Zea mays: one gene and its partners. The protein of the gene in region 1 binds, or shares a complex with, the protein of each later gene. Links are inferred from orthologs where the notes say so. Each region holds a gene or a part of one and is shown on either strand. Other genes may lie near its edges.

What was found. The genes of interacting proteins can lie anywhere in the genome.
Region 2: uncharacterized protein LOC100216950 (region 1) and mediator of RNA polymerase II transcription subunit 14 share a complex: the UniProt entries of both Arabidopsis thaliana proteins name them as parts of the mediator complex. The link is inferred for Zea mays from reciprocal best matches to the Arabidopsis thaliana genes SFR6 and SWP.
Region 3: uncharacterized protein LOC100216950 (region 1) and Mediator of RNA polymerase II transcription subunit 28-like share a complex: the UniProt entries of both Arabidopsis thaliana proteins name them as parts of the mediator complex. The link is inferred for Zea mays from reciprocal best matches to the Arabidopsis thaliana genes SFR6 and AT3G52860.

What each region holds. Positions count from the first base shown.
Region 1 is NC_050096.1:232,623,745-232,628,046, reverse strand, and holds the start of uncharacterized protein LOC100216950, read left to right. Parts: upstream 1-1,481; coding exon 1,482-1,517; intron 1,518-1,874; coding exon 1,875-2,049; intron 2,050-2,206; coding exon 2,207-2,730; intron 2,731-3,242; coding exon 3,243-3,419; intron 3,420-3,766; coding exon 3,767-4,147; intron 4,148-4,283; coding exon 4,284-4,302. UniProt on the Arabidopsis thaliana protein: Component of the Mediator complex, a coactivator involved in the regulated transcription of nearly all RNA polymerase II-dependent genes.
Region 2 is NC_050097.1:176,303,010-176,307,149, forward strand, and holds the start of mediator of RNA polymerase II transcription subunit 14, read right to left. Parts: upstream 2,855-4,140; 5' UTR 2,361-2,854; coding exon 2,106-2,360; intron 1-2,105. UniProt on the Arabidopsis thaliana protein: Component of the Mediator complex, a coactivator involved in the regulated transcription of nearly all RNA polymerase II-dependent genes.
Region 3 is NC_050103.1:84,916,283-84,920,171, reverse strand, and holds Mediator of RNA polymerase II transcription subunit 28-like, read left to right. Parts: upstream 1-1,367; 5' UTR 1,368-1,513; coding exon 1,514-1,703; intron 1,704-2,137; coding exon 2,138-2,250; intron 2,251-3,015; coding exon 3,016-3,150; 3' UTR 3,151-3,335; downstream 3,336-3,889. UniProt on the Arabidopsis thaliana protein: Component of the Mediator complex, a coactivator involved in the regulated transcription of nearly all RNA polymerase II-dependent genes.

The DNA.
Region 1 (4,302 bases):
ACTACAGTGTGGATGGTGTTCATACGCTTTCAGTGAATATGGTTCATTTTGATATTGCTATAACCAAATATACATTCATGTCTATCTACTGGCATAGCTTTGGATTTTAAAGTGAATTATAGCATAACACAGATCAATATACTGTTTTCTTCAAATATAGAACTGTTAATGTTCTGCTGCCACAGGCAGTGGTGGATCCAGGAATGGATCAAAGGAGGGGCTGCTAAAAGAAGGTTAGTTTTTTTAGGCTGAACTAAATGATATATCAATGTTTAATATAACAAAGTAACAAGTATAATTCAAATCTTCAAGACACATGTAGACAAAATAAGTAGGTACGAAATCTATAAATACAATACTCAATATATACCGCTCAAGATATCTCCATCAGCTTACTCATCCTCATCTCATATTTCAAACCCCACTCTATAAATAGTGCATTCTACAGTGTAAAACAATGTTTTACACGGTCATATGCACGATCTGCTGGCCATAGCCTCATGAATTACGGTTGCAACGTAAATTTATCTTTCGAGTTCTTATGCCTTAAAAACGTTTCAAAATCTTGTGCTGGCTGCAGCGTGCGCCTTGCGCTGGCCTGCACCTTGTGCTGGCTGCTGGGCGCCTACACGCTGCTAGCTGCTGCAGGTGTGTCGGCCATGCACGCTGGTCCGTGGCCGTGTCCTGCGTGGCGGCGTGGGTGCACAGTGCGCTGCCCGTCAGGCTTTGTGATGCGGCACTGGCACTACTGCAGTGTTATGGCACGGATGGGGGCCAGGCGCGCGTGTGTGCGGCACTACTGTTTGGTGCTGGTGTGCTGTGGCGACATGGCTGCGTGGACGAGATCGGGTGCGGGTGCTAGATGCCACGGTTAGATGGAAGGCTGTTACCTATTTTTGTTGGATTTTATGGACTAAAATTATGATATGATATAAGTATTATTGGACCGGGGCCGCCCCTGGCCACAAGTATGTGTAAATTGTACATTTTAATGGGCATTTACAACAGTGGCATTTTTTTATTTTAACCGCAAAATGATGCTAGAAACTTTTCCAGTGGCTGTTTGCCTTTGGGTTGAAAATCATTGGCATCTCAGCAGGTGTCTCTAAATTAATTGACTGGCTGGACAGCTGATTCATATGATATTTTGGGTTGTGATGAGTTAATATGACAGTTGGAATTTTGGGTGATATTTCATATTTTATACCTTTTTGGCTTCAATGTTTGATTTACTACCTTTCTTCCTTTTATGATTAATGAATGTACAATTGTACATGCAGAACCTTGATAGGATTAAGTGTAGGTTGTTGGAAGGAACAAATGCCCAAGATGTACGGGCACTTGTGTTGGACATGCAAGCAAGATTACTTCTGGATATGCTAGGCAAAGGAATCGAGTCTGCCCTTACAAATCCATCAACTCTGCTACCTGAGCCCTGGCAAGCTTCCAGTGATATGTTATCCAGCATCGATGCTGACAAAATGACTGTTGAGCCAGCTCTGCTTCCAAACATCCAGGTCAAGCTGTCTCCTTTATGCAAGTTGTTTCTATTTCATAGCCATGGAACTTAAATTCAGCTATCTAACATTCTTTCTTTCTTTTTACTGACTTTATTCTTTTAAGACTTGCTACTGAGCCGTTTTTTTTCATTTTATAAAGTAGTGAGCAGTATATTGGTATGCTAGATCACTTCCATGTAAACGGTACTTTAGTTATGTTGGTGAACTCATGTGCAATGTCTGTTATCCTTTGCCAAAACTGGTGTATTACAGCCTTTTAATGTTGAGTATTGTATAAATTTCAGCACAGGTTATCTGCATAGGGATTCTTTATGTTACTAGGAAATAGCTTATTTTATTTGCATTCAAATGCAGGGTTACGTTGATGCTGTTCTTGATTTAGCATCACATTTCATAACTCGCTTGCGGCGTTATGCGAGTTTCTGTCGAACTCTGGCGAGCCATGTGGGGCCATCTTCTACCACAGGCACTTCTAGAAATATGGTTACAAGTCCAACAAACAGTTCTCCTTCGCCATCAAATAATCAAGGTTAGCTATGCCTGCTAGCTTGCTAAATCTTGTGTTTTTCTCTTGTTTGTGCGCAAAAAAGTACATCCAAACCTTATGTTTTCTTCATTGCAAATTTGAGGCTTAAAGTGTTGTTTATTTAGTGCTGCTAGCATCTTGATGCTCCTTCAAATTTCAGGTAATCAAGGGGGATCAACATCTGCAACAGGGAACTCACAAATGCAGGAGTGGGTCCAAGGTGCAATTGCTAAGATTAGTAACAATTCTGATGGTGCTGCCACTGCAACACAGAATCCAATGAGCACGAGGACATCATTTATGCCCATCAGCATTAATACGGGCACTTTCCCTGGCACACCTGCTGTGAGACTTATTGGGGATTGCCATTTTCTTCATAGATTATGTCAATTACTGCTATTTTGTCTGCTTTTCCGAAGAAGGCAATCACCAAGGTTACTTGCCAGTTCGCAAAAAAATCAAGATTCTGCCATGCAGAAAATACAACACATGATGAATGCTAAGACAGAAGATAACAGTTCGACAGTAAGATCTGGTCTAGGGGCTGCCAAAGTAGAAGAAGGTCACTCTGCGCGTGGTGGACAATTTGTTCTTGGTGGTGCAAAGGGTCCTGAAGAAAATCCAATTGGCAAATCTGTTAGAATAGGTTCTGGCAACGCTGGGCAAGGTTATACTTCAGATGAGGTGATTATCAAATTCTTGACAAGATATAGTATTTTTTACAGAGTTTAATATTGAGTTATACTAAGGAAACTTTGGGAGTTAGTGCTACCAAACTGGGACTGATCGTTGGCATTTGAACTTTGGGAGTTAGTGTGAAGAAGCTGACGATGTGCCAAATGCGCTGGAAAACTGGTGACCTGAAGTCCTGAACATAGTGATTAGTTTGGAAACAACTATGTTTTGGCTCCTGCATTTCTTTGGAAATGTCTAGCTTTGGTTGCTATGGGAGAACACATGTCGATATAGCCATCATAGAGTGCAATTGCGTATGTAGGTTATTTTGGACCCTTGATTTAAGCAGTTTAAAATTTTGTCCAGCCTAGCATGAACAACAGTTTGATTGCATATGTCGTTCATGATCTCTATTGAGTGATTTATCAGATGCTTTACAGATCTGTCTTTCTATTCTTTGGAAGATTTCTTTTTGTCTAGTTTATCTAATTATCTCTGTAATTTTATTTCATTGTTGGTAGGTCAAGGTCCTTTTTCTTATACTGGTTGACCTATGTCGAAGGACATCTACCTTGCCGCATCCATTGCCTGCCTCTCAGGTTGGTTCCAGTAGCATTATCATAAGGCTGCACTACATTGACGGCAACTACACAGTGCTCCCTGAGGTAGTGGAAGCGTCTCTTGGTCCCCATATGCAGGTACTAGTCAAATTCTCATGGAAGTTTCTAATGGTCGCTTTCGTACTATTTGTGGCCATTTTGAGCTACCAACATCTATCAATTATAGGAGTAGAAGTTGATTTTCAAGTGCACGACTCAGAGATATTGCAAGTCTTCCTGTTTCGAACTGAATTCAGGACGACCACCTTTAAATGTTGATTAGGATTCTCTTAGCAGAAGTTATCTTTTTTGTATTAGCCATTTTTTATAGAAACATGCACTATTACTGCCAGGGCCTTAGACATGGCATTTTGAGTGATCCCTCGATGCCTACTTCCCCATCTATTTTCAATATTTCATTGTTTCCTATGTCTGTAACTCTGTAGAATATGCCTCGTCCACGAGGAGCTGATGCTGCTGGACTTCTACTTCGAGAATTAGAACTGCAACCTCCTGCGGAAGAATGGCATAGACGCAACATGTTTGGTGGACCCTGGTCAGAACCAGATGATTTTGGTCCATTGGACAATATGCCTCGTCTAAAAATTAGTGGTTCCATCAACTCTCATTTGTCTGACATGGAAGTGGATGCTGTCAGTTCCATTGGGATTGATCTTTGGCCAAGAAAGCGTAGGTTATCTGAAAGAGATGCTGCATTTGGTCTGAAAACATCTGTAGGTCTTGGAGGTTATCTAGGTGTCATGGGATCTCGAAGAGATGTTGTCACGGCTGTGTGGAGAACAGGTCTCGATGGTGATTGGTACAAGGTGAGTATGGTTATGGTCGCTTTACCTTTTGCTGTCAAGTCTGGGTTCATAGTTCCTTGACGAGTTCTTTATTAGAGAATCCTGGTTACTCCCCTAATATACTTCGATGCCTAAATTTGTTGTTTCTTCTTTCTAGTGCATACGTTGTTTGCGGC
Region 2 (4,140 bases), on another chromosome or scaffold:
TTAGCAATGCTTTTGGAGATGATTTCAATTTATCATGGGACCAAGTTGATGAAGCTATTGGTGCATCTGCACATCTCAGAGGTCGTAATTTTCCTAGGAGAGCTGGTGGTGGGTGTGTGAGAAGGAATGAAGACCTTGAGGAAGAGGAGACTAATTTAGCAAATGAAGATGATGAGGAATATATTCTTGATGATCTTGATGTGGAAGATGAAATTGAAGGAAGCAATAGTGGAAAAGATGGTGACGATCAAGGCGCTATGCTCATGGTCTTAATATCGATGAGTTCGATGATGGTTACTAATCATGCATAAAAGTTGTAACTTGTGTGGTTGAACTTGTGTTGTTGAACTTGATATGTTTCTTTTTATGCTAATGCTATTTGGTTTGTGAACTCAACTTATGTATGAACTTATTCTATATTTGAAATTCTATGTCAAGTCTGAAAAGACGTTTCAACGTTCGTTTAAACGTTTAAACGTTGAAAAGTTGGTTCATAACGTTTTAACGTTTTACCGCTTTAATAACCATGTTTGAAACAGCCTCCTTGCATAATTATGCGAGGGTGAGGCTGTTGAGAATCCCCTTCTCCAGAACCCACATTGTGTTCAGCTTTCAGCACTAGGTACACAGCTGACAGCCTGACATAACAACAAAATTAAGGTACAGTGGGGCATATTTAAAGGAATCCATTGGCTCAGTGGAATGATGTAAAATGCCATTAAATCAACCTCAGTACTTCTGGATCCGTTGAGGAAGTGCTCTTTGGACTAGTTCAGTGCTATATCTAAGCTTGGTTGGGACAAAGGAAATCTTAAACTTTTCATTGTCCTTGTCAACTTATTTTTTACTAGACAGTCTCATTTTTCTGTCCTACGTTTAATTACATTTGTAGCACAGAAATTATATGTCAAGTTGTCAATTAAATTTAAAAGAAAAGGATTTTATGGATGTGAACCAGATAATGAGCAATCTAATAAAAATCAGAATACTTCATCTTGATTTTGTTACAAAACAAAAGTGGCTTGCACGATTGCACTAGGATTAGCTTGCACCAAATATATGCTAGAAACAAATATTTATGACAGCATAACAACCACATTACCACAGTTCAAACCATATAGTGAAATATTACAATTTGAAATGGAAGCAATATAAATCAATGAGACTCCCGTGATAAAAAAAAACTCGGCCGGGGAGGGAAAGACCGCCCTCCCGGTATTATATTAAGAAGAGACCGAAACAATGGTCCCGGCCGAGAAAATCCCCGAACCCTGGCCCCCAATCACTAACGGGCCGGCGTCAACTGTCCACTCTGCAACGGCCCAACCGGAGGGTGGCGCACAGGACATCGTAACCCAAAAGCGGATGGGACACAGCGAGGGGATTTTTTTAACCAAGCCTGAAAATTCGCTCCCGGGGGGAAATCGAACCCAGGACTTGGAGGTGCTACTCGGAAGTCCTTAACCACTAGGCTAGAGGCCCTTTCGCGACTCCCGTGATATATAATGCATTTTCAATGGTTTAATAGTTTAATTATTAAATTATATTTGTTGATTTTACATTCCCCTGATCTATGTGTGCATGGTGGTTCGCAGTTCGCACTATTTCAAGTACATTGTAAAACGGTCTTATTTCACTCGTCGTTTATGCTAGAGCACACCATGACAGCACCAGAAAAATAATATAAGTTTCTAGTGCGAAACAAATTGAGCTTTTTCATAATACCACTGCACCAAAACAAAATAAACAAATCAATGAGTATGCCAAGATTGAACTGGATTACATTTTGTCCACCAAACAATCATTTGTGTCCTACTAGGAACTGGAGTACAGACCCTACAAAATTAGGGGCAAAAATGCTGGCACAATTCATCAACAATCACCAATCTTCACTATCCCACTACACTGCAATAAGACAACAACTATGAATATCCTTCTTTACATGCCACTCGAGCTAGATAGGTGAGACAATGCCACTAAACCAAACTAAAACAGGATATTAGGCACTCACACCAGTCAGATTGAATTCTTAGCATACCTCAGCAGAATTATGACAAGGAGACAGACAAGCAAGAGAAATAGCAAAGACTGAAATTAGGCATCACCTGCTGACACCACTTGGCAAGGACGTGGAGACGAAGCATGCGCTGGCGTGTGCGTGTGATGAACTTGAGCAAGTCAATCTTCTTCTCGGTGTCGGACCGCTGCCAGCTGCCATTGGCTCCGGCGCCGATGCCCTTCCCCTCGGCCTCCGCCTGCGACTTCTCCACGAGCTCCCGCAGAGCGAGATAAGACTCCTCCGCCGCACGCCGCACCACCGCGCCCAGCTCCACCGTCTGCTGCCCCAGCTCCCCTGCCATCCCCGCACGCACGCCCGTCCCGAACAGCTAGGGTTTCAGCGCCCACCACCTACACATTCTCCAGTTCCTTCTCCTAATTAACTCCGCAAAGCGCCGGAGACGAAACTCTAGCCCTGTATCGCCAACGTGCGCACGCGTGGGCCGGGAGGAATCTCGCAGGATTCGCCGCGCCTCCCCGTGAATAGTGGTGGAAGAGGGAGTGGAACTGAAATTGGAAACCACTCAGTCAAGGGTAAGGCTCAGGGAGGGGACCGAGGGTGGCCGCGAGAGAGGGTGAAAAGGAGAGAGATGGTGGAAGCGAGAGACGGAGGTCGGCGGCGGCGAAGCGGCGGCGTGGGTACGGCCTCCTCTCTCTCTCTCTCTCGCTTCTGCGATCGATGAGTTCAGGACCGGCGGAGGGTGCGAGTGCGCCCTAGTCGACGGGCCCACGCGGAACCGGAGGCCTGGGCTAGTAGCCTAAGGGCATGTACAATGAGTATCTTAAGTTGTGTCTTAGAGTGTGTCTAGGGGGGTGAATGTAAAAAAACTCAAGACATGTATCTTGACGAAGACACAGTGTCTTAGCTCTATGTTCGAGACAGGAGGCTAGCTGATTGGTCACTTTAATTTATTGAATGCTCTGATTGGTACAATGAATATGGTAAGACACACGTTTTAGACACGACCACTGTATTGTGTTGTGTTTTAGCTGTGTCTTATACTTGAAGTACCGTGCAGTCGTATCTGGGTTGTACATGCCCTAAGGGCATGTACAGTGGAGAGACACCAAAACGGTTCTCTAAGCACAGGAGACAACTAAGAGACTCTATTGTACAATGGAGTGTCTCTAAACGTAGTCGGTTAATAAATACAGAATTAAATGTATTTGTATAGCATCAGATCGATAGAACAGACGACAAATTCGTACAGTGGGAAGTGAGGCGTTTGTTGTTACTTGGTTTACGAGCCAGAGGCGTCTCTTCACGGAGAGACGGCTCTAAGATTTTTTTGCAAATAACCCCCTAAAACACCTTAAGAGCCCCCATATTAAACACCACTGTACATGCCCTAAGAAATACAGAGGTTATTGCCGAGGAGGTGACTGTCTTTGGAGCATTAATGCAATAATTGAAAGGTATGATTCACCGACTATATTTGTATGTTATGTATATCAAAAACTTTACATTTATTTATCTATTTACGTTATTGCCTTTATAGTGATGTTTGTTGTTATTTTTATAGATGATTATGCTAAATGATATCACATTTGTACATCTAATAGACGGAGGAGGACTAGCACTCTAACAAGTGTTTGGGTAGCTTTAAAAGCTCTTCCTATCCTTGTGAAGAAACCACACATTGGTGCTAAGGAATTACAAAGTTCACTTCAAGATACCTACAAATGCATAATTGCTCATGACACAGTTTGATATGGAAAAGAGAAAGCCTTGAAAGTGTTGTTTGTAACTTGAGAAGAGAGCTTCCAACTATTGTGCTCTTGGAAGGAGGTAGTGTTGCATAAGTCACCTTATAGTGTCATTTGTTGAATTAATGTGGGTCTGGCCCATATTAATATTCAATAATAGTCAATGCTAAAGGCCCATTTTAATGCTACGGTGTACTAGTACTTTAGTATAATACCAGAAGTTTAAGGGACAATTCAATCAACTTAAATAGGTGGTCCGTTGGTGCATCTATTGAGAAGCTGAGAAAAGGATGAAGGACTGCCACACGTGCGCGCGCCGCCGACCGGGCAGGACCGTGGCCGTGGCTAGGGCTGGGAAAAAAGCTCGAACTCGAC
Region 3 (3,889 bases), on another chromosome or scaffold:
GTCTTCTATTGAGCCATACAGGATAGAGGATGCACTAAGAGATCCGGACTGAGTGGTGGCAATGCAAGAGGACCTCAACAACTTCACAAGGAATGAGGTATGGTATTTAGTTCCATGTCCTAACCAAAAATTAGGGTGTTACAACTATTAGGGCTTGTTTGGGAGAAACAGGATTGGAGGGGATCGAGGGGTTAAAATTTCTTACTTCTCAATAAGCCCTTAAGTGATTTACTAAATTTTAGGTACCTGAATTTTAGTTTTTAGTGTGTTGTAATTTATATAGACATAATCTACATTTTTACTCTTAAGAATAAAATATCTATTGAACAAAATCATAAATTTGGTAGATTTTGATTTGTGTTGACATAAAGACCATTAACATTTTGCAATTATTTTAGTAGTTAGCTAAGGGAAAAAATATAGGTTATAACATAAAGGTAAACAATAAAATTATAGTCTTAGACCCCCTTTGGACCCTTGGAATTGAATTCTAATATAATAATTGTAATTTAGACATAAATCAATTAAACTAATATGGTTTTATAGTGAGTATATTTGTATATTAGTGTTGGCCATATTTGAGAGATATTTATATGTTACATTTCTACTATAGGAGAGTGAGTAGAAGAGTGTGTTATAAATTACAGAGTAGAAACGTAGAATTGAATACATAAAATCAATTTCCACCCCATCTTATGAATTTGAGATGAGTTTATATCTAAACTTTGGAAAGTGGTGTAATATCAAATTCAAATCAAATAACCTACTCTATTAAATACTCCCTCCAGTCTTTAAATACTTGATGTTTAAGTGATTTTCACTTTGGATGCAAATACTTGATGTTGAAGCATTTGAAGCTTATTTTGGACTAGCAAATGCTTGATGTTGAAGCATTTGAAGCTTATTTTGGACTAATATACCCTTGATATAAGTGGTTCACACATTCTTCCACATATGCTTAATTATTCTTATCGTGAAGGTTTGATCTCACGACCTAGTGTAAAATTCTTTAGGACCCAACCATCTAGGCTAACATCTTCATGTGTTTGTTGTGGAATCTAAGCGTATTTATTAGGGGTATTATGGAAAATAACAACCCTATTTAATAGCTCCTTGGTATATGAGGTCATGTCCAAAACATCAAATATTTGAAGACTGGAGGGAGTAAATTCCAATTCTTTGAAAATAAAAGGATCCAAATGGTCCTTTATTAGCAATCAGTGGTATATAAGAGTGTTGCCTAAATTTTAGGCACCAAAATATGAAGAAGTGTGCTATTATAAAAAAGAAAAAATATTTCAGAAAATTGTCAGCCTGAACAAACTATGCGCTTTCCTTCAGCCAAGGCAGCCTCAGCCCTCGAGCCTATGCCTATCCAGGCGCAGAACACGCCATTTGTAAACCAATCCTAGCCGTGCGTCTTCAATCCAACGGAAAGTTCCTCCTTGTCAATAGCAAATCGGAGGCCCAAGCGCTCCCAATCTCTCCGGGTCCTCTCTCCGCATTCTCCGTCATGGCTGAGCCGACGCCGTCGCAGTCGCCAGCGCAGACGCCGCCCCCGCCGCCGACGCAGCAGACTCCCGCGGCGGGTGGGCTCGAGGACATGCTGGCGTGTGTGGCGGCGCTGGAGGCCGCGCTGCTGCCGTGCCTCCCCGCGCGCGAGCTCCAGGCCGTCGACCGCTCCCTCCAGTCCTCCCACCAGAGTACGGCCGACCCCCATCATTTCCCCACTCTCCTCCTCTAGAGGTAGCTTCACTTTGATCCGGCACGGCTTCGACACCAGTAAAGTCTCATGGTGTTCGGTCGGTTAATGGCGCCGTCGCGCGCCACATGTTCGTTGTTTTGCCTACGGGATGGATAAAGGGATCTTGCTCTTTCTAGAGGAAGATTTTGCATCTTTCTTGTGCCCAGGAAATTGTATATCGATTGGTTTCTTAGGTCCTAGACTGAGAACTCAACTTGTATCAACTGTACCAATCAGGCAATCACATTGCAATGCTTATTAAAGAAGTAAATCACATTTTTAGATACCGACTTAATAGTGTGCAATGCTTATTAGAGAAATTTAATTGCATTTTCTCATTCGTTCCTGCCAAACAGGGTATCTAAGTGTTGTAGTCTCTACTAAATTGGGCAGTTGATGTTGAGAGGCACGCAAGGGATTTCATGGAGGCTGCCAAGAAGCTCCAGTCTTATTTCATCAGCCTGCAGCGTGAGGAACCGCCATCTGCAGAAGAGATGCTTCGAAAGGTATATTTCTACTTTATCCTCGTATAGTTAAGAGTGCGGCAAGGATAGTAGTTAAATTAAATTGGGGACTGGTTATGGAGAATGAATTAATTATAAAGTGTTTGGTTTGAGGAATGAGCTAGTCCATCGTCTTCTCACTTCTCTTTTTTTATTTGATTTGTGGAATGAAATAAGGAATGGAGTCATTCCTTATAGTTAGTTAGTACTAATATGAGAAATAAGGTCATCCCAGCAAATTTGAGGAATGGACTCATTATACACCACATCATTTTGGATTGAGTGACTCCTCAAACCAAACACTCCCTTAAAAGTTTTCATTGGTGATAGGATTGACATTTCACATGATATGATCATCCCAAGTACTGTGATCATTTGTGGTTGGCACTATACTTAGGAATAGCCAACTTTATAAATCACATAGTGCTACTTGCTACAGGCAGTTTGTTACACTCAGTATAAGCTTTATTACAAAGACTCCTATATTTCTACTCGAAGTTGAGGTGTTCATTATTGAAAGAACTGGTAGCCTGCCTGAATCGTCACTTCTACAAAGTAATGTTCCCAAGGAACACCCAATCACATTCATACACCTAACACCTTCTGTGCTCATGAATTTTTCATGCACACGTTTCTGTAAAAAAATGCCTTTGCAGTAGTTGAGAGAATCACAGGTGCATAGTTGCTGGTCTTAATTAGGAATTTGGGATACATATACCCACCCAATATTTATCATCTCGTTGGCATGTTCGGTTTTGCATTGCACAGGAGATTACGACAATGGAGGAAGAGTTGAAGAGCAAGTCTGAGCTCATTGCCAAGCACAAGAAGTTGATTGAAGGGTGGCAAAAGGAACTGAAGGAGCAGCTGAGCAAGCACATCACGGAGCTTGAAAGGGTGTGAGGAGTGCGATTCTGCGGTTTACCTTGTAGTGATCATGAACCTCTAGGTGACCAAATGTTATGTTATGCCCTATAAAACTGTGTACATGTGCTTAGAATCTGACGCCATGGTTAGCAATCGCCTTTTGTTGGTTTCTTAAGGTTGGAAGCCACGAACAAAGCCCACTTTATCTATGTTTGATTGTGTACCTTTACTTGCCCCATGGTCTCTGTTGTTGTGCAAAATGAGTCTCTGCCATCATAAAACGACATAGAATGCTAACGGCTTCCTGTCTTTATGGGTAAACTTTGGGTGAATTTATGGGTAAACTTTGGGTGAACTGTTGGAGTCAGCCTAGCGGGTTATGTGCCTACTCTGGATGGCCGCCATGTTCGCAAGTTCCTTTCTATCTTTACTCCATTTGTGCCTGGATCAGCTCGAACAGAACCTTCTCCTGACAAAAAGCCGAGCCAAGTGGCACAGTTGCTACGTTGAATACACGAGCAAGCGAAAAAAAACACTTTGTGTTTTATCTCCGTTCCTAAAGGTGCACTGCCAGGTTGTTCAGTAATCCACTACTAGTCAAAATCTTTCTCAATCCATTTCAATACACCTTAATCCATATGATTTTGCTATAAAATGAACAAGACCTAAGGACATAATCCTTGTCATCACAATTCATATGGATTGGAGATAATTGGATGAGTTTAAATTTATAGTAAGTTAAAATCTCTATTTTTTTTCAATCACATCTAATCTA